Danio rerio: one gene and its partner. The protein of the gene in region 2 interacts with the protein of the main gene of each other region in a pairwise test. Links are inferred from orthologs where the notes say so. Each region holds a gene or a part of one and is shown on either strand. Other genes may lie near its edges. The genes, in order: ptpn9a and rtn3.

Region 1 (4,564 bases), on a different chromosome or scaffold from region 2:
TAAAAAGACTCATAATCTGAACGCAACTGCATTACTTAAATTTTATGTAAAAAAACAGGCATTCTCAGACCTCCATAACAGTGATGAGTAAATTAAAGACGATTAAGGTTGTCAGTCTTAAGTTAAAATATGTACATTGAGAGTTTATAGGCAGGGTACGAATTACAGTATTAATTAATGCTTAATGCAAGATCAGCCCTGAATGTCAACAGCCTTTCAATAGTGAGAAATTGTTTTCATATCTCTAAATATCTGTATCTTAAATAATTAAATTATTAATTAATATAATAGACAATATAAATATACATTTGACCACCCCTATAACGGTTCAAACCATTATGAATGCATAATCACACCAAATCATTTTAAGTGAGAACAAATTCGCTCAACAGTCTGAAAGTGGCAGATCTAAAGCCCTGATAGACACCATATGTGTTCACAAGACACTTTTCTTGTAAAATACGAGCTTTTATTTACATATAGCCTGAAAGTAAAGTCAAATTAGGCGCATAGTTTGACCTACAGTAACCTCTAAAATAGCTGATCAGAGGTTACTGTAGGTCAGAGTACACTAATTCCCTCAAAACACTAAAAACTTAAATATTCATTCATTCATTTTCTTTTCAGCTTAGTCCCTTTATTAATCCGGGGTCGCCACAACAAAATGAACCGCCTAAAACTTGAATAATTTATTAATAAATCTGATGTAATTTTAAAAATACAAAGATTTATTGCAATAAAATATGTATTACACAAGCTAACATTATCGAAAATGTTTCATAAAAAGTTGAAGTTAAGAATAGTTTCAATTCAGGATTGAAATAGCTATTGAAATGCAAGTTTTAGGCTCTTACTTTTGCTCTCAATGCTGACTTTATTAGTCCTGACTTAATTTATCACCATTCAGACTTTGTTTCTTGCAGTTCTGTGTGTATATGTGTCCCAATTCCAAGTTCATATCTTGCACTTCTGAGTTTGCATCTCACAACTCGAACTTGATTTCTCAGAAACCCTGGATTTATTTGTAACAATCCTGAGTCTGCATCTGGTAGACCGCAAATCAGACTTTTTATGTCGAACCTTCAAGATACACAGTTCTGAGAAAGTCACAAGCCACAGTTCTGAGAGAAATGCCAAAGTTGCAATAGATGTTTGCTCACAAATGCAAATCTACATTTATATCTTTGAATCATAAGGGCCAGACGGAATCTGCGGACATTTTTTGCTATCTCTGCGCAGAATTTTGGTAAAGATCTGCGGATTTATGATGAATGATTTTGAGAGTATAACTAAAACCTTAATATATGAATACATTTTTAACTTTTATTTAATGTTTACAATGCAGTTCCAATTAGATCCTCTTTATTTGGTGAACAAAACAATTCTTTCATATAATATCTCTACTAAAAGACAGAACATATTACTTTACACACTGTATTGTAAACAAATTATTTGAATATTTTCATTTTAGTCAATAAAATTACTGAAACTAATTTAAAAACTGAATAAATATAAGTTTACACACATTTACACAAGTGAATGAACAGAATCAATTATGGGATAAAAATCTGTGCGCGCAGATTTATTTTATTTTTCAAAGTATGCATATTTCAAAATGTATTTCAATATGCTTAAATTACTGACAACACTATTTACATTCAGGATTATTGAAATCTTTGTTGTTAAATATGTTATAATTATTAAAGAGATAGTCCACCCAAAAATGAAAATGTCCTCATCATTTACTCATACTCAAGTGATTCTGTCAAACACAAAAGAAGATATTCTGATGAATGTTGGAAGAAACTATGAAAAATTTTGGAACAAGTGGAGGATGAGTAAAGCATAACAGTTTTCCTTTTTTGGCGAACTGTCAACCAACTTTTATTTAATAGTGTAAAATAAAAAGGATAGTACACCTAAAAATTACAATTCTGTCATCATTTACTCAACCATTTTTGTTAAAATATAAAAGAAGATATTCTGAAGAAAGCTGGAAACCTGTAACCATTAACTTCCATTGTATTTGTTTTTCAGCCAAGACCGTTAATAATTAGAGGTTATCAACTTTCTTCAAAATATCTCCTTTTGAGTTCAACAGAATCAAGTATCTCAAAAAGACTTGACACCACTTGAGGGACAGTAAATAGCCACTACATTTACATTTTTAGGACAATTATATGGAATCAAATATGACCCACAGGCTAAAATTCTACCTTTTACTCTGTTTACCGTGGTAAAACCCAAACAGGGTGTCTCTAGTCAAATGGTCAGTCCCGGGTTGCTTAGCAACAGAACCGCTGGACCAGAGAATCAATGTGAACCGGATTGTGATGGTATTTGATACCTGCTCCTCCTCAGCGCTCAGGCGGTCGGCCATCATCCACTCTCCGGCGCTCTGCACCGCTGGAGGACCTTCCTGGAGCTCGGACAGCTGTTCAACCGGACTGCAGAGATCACACCGGGCTCTTTTAGGCCCGTTAGCAGTGTTCAGGCTAACAACAGAAGCAGGACTCGCGCCGTTTTTCAGCTCGACAGAGAGCGCGCGCGGCCGCCACTTCAGCACGGCACGAGCGGCGCGTTCATGATTCGCTCCGGGTTTTTACAGTCTATGATATATTGTATTTACACACATAAACACTAATGGCTTTCCAGCGGAGCTTCGGTCCGTCCGCCTGCGTGACGAAGGGAGAATTTCATCACGGTGCTCTGTTGAATCTCGTCGAAGGCTTGTTAGATTGTTTGGAGATGTGTAATAATCTTAAACGACCAGTTCCGCGTCATTCGGCCGCCGATTAAAGAAGTGATAACGTGAGAACGCGAATGAAGATCGGACGCTCCTGAAAAGAAGCAGTGAAAGATGAAAGATGACGCTCCCCCTGTTGGACAAAATGGAGAACTGCAGGCTGAACCACGCTCCTCCTCTCCATTCATAAAAACCTCTGGAGGCCGAGTCAATGCAGTGTATCGGTTCGTTTGAACGGCACTTTTAAGTAACTTGTTTACTAGTTAAAGGCGTTCCTAGTTCGCAGTTCCTATGCGGCAAGTTATGTCATTTTTATGATCACTTCTCATCCATATACTGTCGTATTAGCTGTAATGAGTGTATAAATCAAACGATTCCTTGTTATGATTCCAAGTGAGCCGAGTGATTTGTGAATCGCAGAAATATTACAGGAATGATTCATTCGAGACTCGAACGTCATTCACACAAATGAACACATTTACTTAGTTATGTAAATTACTTTAATATTTTCTAGGTTCATATCTAGTGTGTGTGATTACAGACAAACTAGCGCATAAGTTTACTTTACTATATTCAATTTAATTAATTGGAGTCTAATTACATTTCGTTCATACTTTAAATAAATAATATTGTGATTTACTTGTTTGATAATTGGTCAAAAATATCAAAAATCCTAATTTGTTGCGATTTAAAATAAAAGTACACTAGCCAAATACTGATTTATTTACTCATAAGATGTTAAACTTTGGTATTGTTTCGAGGGGTCTGGATGCAGTCCTGGTGCAGTGCAATCTGAGCTGCATCCAATGCTTTTTAATGGGCTTACCTAACCCCACCCCTAACCCTACCCATCACAGTGGAATCCCTCACTCCATTTGAGTGCATTGTGTCTGACATTGCATCGCTAAGTGATGCAATCTCAGCTTGCATCATAAAGGCTGCATCCAGATATAATTGATTGTTTCTCTAAAAATTAATCTAACATTGTCTAAAACTTTTTTATTTTATCTTATGCTAAACAAAATGTAATATTTATTTTATATTTGGAAGAAAATTAATTAGTAGTTTTACAGAACCTCTTAAGTATCTATATTTAATGTCAGTTCTGTTAAATGAAAGTTTCCATCTAGCATTTATGTTTAAGGCGAATTAAAGTCTCAGTGAGCTGACGCAAGAAAACATGCCAAGAAACCGAGCCGATAAAAACAAAGAGCTTCCTGTGGGCGTGTTTCCGGAATGACTGACAGGAGATCGTGATGACATCATGCTGGAAAAGCGCTCACAAGTGCTTTCGCTTTCACTCATAGCCTTAATCTACACATAAAAAGCATGTCGTGCGAATAGCCTCGGCTGCTGACGTTTTTTATTGGTTGACAGGCTTTACTCGGTGCTTTTAGAGCCGAGCTGCTCATGAGGGGATCCGGGAAGGCTGATCTGGGTTGACAGGTGCCGTGGGTTCCTGGAAAGCAGAGACTGACTAATAACCAAACTCTCCGATTACGCTTTGGTTTTTCTGTGAGGAAACGACCTTGTGGTTTCAGATCAACAATAGCTCCATCACTGTGACCTCTTGCACAGTTTGTCTTGCTAAAAAAAAACGTGGTGTTTTGACATTCAGGCTGAGGAGATTTTGATGAGGCCAGCATTTCATATGTAAAGCACAACTCGGTTCTAGAAACTAAACATCATTTAGATCAACACACAATCACACGTTGGGGTACATTGGTTTCATATTCGCATAATCGTTGAGTGAGAACTTCTGACACACTCTATATTGTTTACCATGGTACTTACGGTCTGAAATCTTTGAAAGCCCGT
Region 2 (3,828 bases):
TGTTGTAATGTGTAACGTTAATGTAGCTTTGGCTACAAATACACTTGTCGTACTTCAATACCAAGCATATCACTATTACTATGGTGAAAAAATAAAGTTAAATGTACTTCTCACTCAGTTTTCAATTTGTATATTGATTATTTGTAGCACAACCTTATTATTATGATTACTAATACTACGACGACTACTACTATAACGACGACTTGGACAACTACTATGACGGTGACTATGACGACTACTACGACTATGACAACAATTATGGCGACTACTACAACGACTTTTACTATAACGACTACTACTACTATGACGACTTAGACTATGATGAATACTACTACGACTATTATGACTACTACTATGACAACTACTACCATGACAACTACGATGATGACTAGGGCGACTACTACAATGACGACTAGGACTATGATGACAACTGCTACGACTGTGACGATGATTACTACAACAACTATGCTGACTACTATTATCACAACTACTACTACGACGACTAGTATGACGACTATGGTGACTACTACTGTAATGACTAGGACTATGACAACAACTGCTACGACTATGACGACTACTACTACGACTACTATAATGACTATGACGACCACAACTATGAAGATTACTACTACTACTACTATGATGACTACTATGACTATGATGACTACTACAACTATGACCACTACTACGACTATTATGACTACAATGTCGAAGACTACTATGACAACGATGACGACTACAACTATAACGACTACTACTACGGCTGATTATTACGACTACTATTACGACAATTACTATGACAACCACTACTGCTACGAGTACAACAACTAATACTACTTAGTTGAAATACAGCTAATAATATTATTAATAATAATAATATAAAAAATAACAAAGCAGTATGCAAAAATATGCACAAAAAAGCAAATGCCTTGGTACTTCAAATTTCAAGTAAGTATTATCACCAACACCATTAGTACAGTGTTTCTGCAGGTTTCACCAAGACAAATTAAAGCATTTAAGACCTTTTCAAGTCCATTATAAATGAAATTTTAGAAAAAGAGAGGTTTTTTTCTAATGGCTAGTGGAAAATATTTTCACTTACATAATTATATATTTTTTACTTAATATGTGTTTGCATTAAAATGTAAAAACATATTTTCCAAACACATTCACAAATGTTCTTGTAAGAAAGATAATTAAACCAAATGGCTAAATTGTTGATAGTAACGATTGTGTAGCTTTAAATAGACAAAGGAAAATTAAGACTCGTTTACAATACTATTTCAGGGAATTTAAGCCATTAAGACACCGCGGACACCCTGTAGTAGTAGTCATATTAGTCACATTTTGCGCTACGCCACTGCTGACATATATACAGTATATGTGTAATCTATGTATATAAATAGTTCATATTTATAGCATATGTATAGTACATGTATAATTAGATTACCGCTCTGGTATGTTAGTTATGTATAGGTTTAAAAATAACTCTTCCAGTGTTGTGCTTATATTTATGATTATGTTTATGTTTATTTATATAGCACCGTGGTCCCCTGAGACACAACATTTCATTCCATTTTTATGTCCACATGTAGAGGAATGACAATAAAACTTGACCGGACTGACCCCAAACTTCATCCTGAATTATTTATATTTTTATTTTCAATAATAATAAATTGTTATTTATTTAATTTTCAATCTCTTATCTGCCCTTCACCCCAACCCGAACAAAAAATGGTGCAGAGTTTCAGAAACAAACATATATCTGACCTTGTTTTTCTCATAGATGGGCGGTACACTGAAGAGCAGGATGTCGGCTGAAAAACAAAAAGGAAACACCCAGTGTGAGGCAATTATTATCCTTCTTTATTATTCGGAAGTGCAATCTTACTAACTTAAACCCAAACGTGAAAGCCTACCGAGGATGAGGATGGTGATGCCATTGAAAACAGCACCAACATACGTCAGCAGCCACATAACAACTGCCAGCTGAAAGCAGATGAAAACATGAGTCAACTGAACAGAAATCCTCTCCTTTTCACACAAAAACCTACACTGTAATATAACAGATTTGGAATAACCTAAATCCTCAGAGTTCTTCCTATAAATCTGACCTTGAGGGAATCCACCAGATCCTCGACCAGGAAGAGGCGGCTCATCTGCTTGAGCGCGCGGTTGACATGGCTCAGACACCCATCCACGTGCTTGCGGAAAGTCTCGGGTGGCACTGTGACATCTTTGTCCATCAGAGCCCTGTTACAGGAACACGGGTCAAAGACAATTAGCTCTGACAGTGCATTCACACACATACACACACCTCTGAACACCACTGCACTCAACATCTACCATTATTAACACAGAACAGCGCATCACACACCACACAGATGCTTAAGATAAAACATAATTTATTTCTGTTTAGTGTTTGGTCTTAATAAACATAGACAAACGCAGACCAAGCATAAGCATGTTAATATATATAAAATATTGTATGCATACACATTTATTATTTTAATGTAATGCAATATGTATGAAGGCCGAATAAAATTAAGTAGTTAAGACTTTATAAAAGGGTATCTGCAGATTTCTGAGAGTTATGTTTATGATTAAGACATCTTTAATATGACAGAATGATATTTCACACTAATTTTATATACCAAAATTTGCACAAAAAAAAAAGCCTGCAACACAACTTATGACAACCTTTAACTCTGTTAATTACACATGTAACGTGTAAAAACCTCAAAACAATATTATTAATAGTAATTTTAAAAATCATAATAAAATTTTATATCAGTTCCCAAAAACTGCATTAACACAATTTTCCAATGTCAATAATGTATGCCTATTATTAAATGAAACATAACAATATTTTATATGTATAGATTTTTATTATTTATTATTTCAAAATTAAATTGTTTGATCTTGTAAACGATTAAGAATGATGTTTACCATAATTTAATCACAAGCAATCATTTTAAAAATAGCTTGAAATAATAATAATAATAATAATAATAATAATAAAAGAGTTTAATATGGCTTAAATTACATTTTCATCAAAAGATGCTTCTCCAGTTCTTCATTTGTTAATGTTTGGGGTTGACGCAGATGTTATAATCCAGGGGTCACCAAACTTGTTCCTGGAGGGCCGGTGTCCTGCAGATTTTAGCTCCAACCCTAATCAAACACACCTGAACAAGCTAATCAAGGTCTTACTAGATATACTTAAAACACCCAGGCAGGTGTATTGAGGCAAGTTAGAGCTAAAACCTGCAGGGACACCGGCCTTCCTGGACCGAGATTGGTGACCCCTGTTAAAAGCTATTATAAAGTGAAATCCCCAAGAACTCTGTTTACACAAGCAAAATCCCAGCAAACATTAAATACACAAGCGTAGTCCCTATATGCGTGTTTTTTTTTTTTTTTGGGGTACCACATGGAATTTGGTTCTGCCCATGTGATGATAGACGTAGAGATTAAAGTAGATTTCAAAACGGAAATAAAATCTTCTCTACAGGGTTGGTTCGACTGCATTAAGACCTTTGAAACACGGATCTTATTTTTATATTATGGAATTTGAGAAATTTTATAGATCCATGAACACCCTCTACATGGGGTCCAATTCATTACTATTAGCCTGACATTAGTTAGCAATAGCTAACAAGAACCAACAACAACCAAAACTTGTAACCGCATTTAAATGTTAGTTAATTAATTAAAATACTATTTTTCTTTATGTCAGTTCACAGTAGGGGTGGGTCGATAGATGATGCTATTGTCCATCGCTGATGGCCAATAGACATCACGATGCTAAGCCTGCATCGCAATCCT

The links.
Region 1: the proteins of rtn3 (region 2) and ptpn9a interact in binary tests that used the Homo sapiens proteins (3 or more experiments, as listed by UniProt). The two-hybrid records come from large-scale screens. The link is inferred for Danio rerio from reciprocal best matches to the Homo sapiens genes RTN3 and PTPN9.

The regions. Positions count from the first base shown.
Region 1 is NC_133200.1:7,155,270-7,159,833, forward strand, and holds the start of ptpn9a (tyrosine-protein phosphatase non-receptor type 9), read right to left. Parts: upstream 2,882-4,564; 5' UTR 2,384-2,881; coding exon 2,348-2,383; intron 1-2,347. UniProt on the Homo sapiens protein: Protein-tyrosine phosphatase that could participate in the transfer of hydrophobic ligands or in functions of the Golgi apparatus.
Region 2 is NC_133182.1:17,716,072-17,719,899, reverse strand, and holds part of rtn3 (reticulon-3), read right to left. Parts: intron 2,254-3,828; coding exon 2,115-2,253; intron 1,990-2,114; coding exon 1,920-1,989; intron 1,818-1,919; coding exon 1,771-1,817; intron 1-1,770. UniProt on the Homo sapiens protein: May be involved in membrane trafficking in the early secretory pathway. Inhibits BACE1 activity and amyloid precursor protein processing. May induce caspase-8 cascade and apoptosis.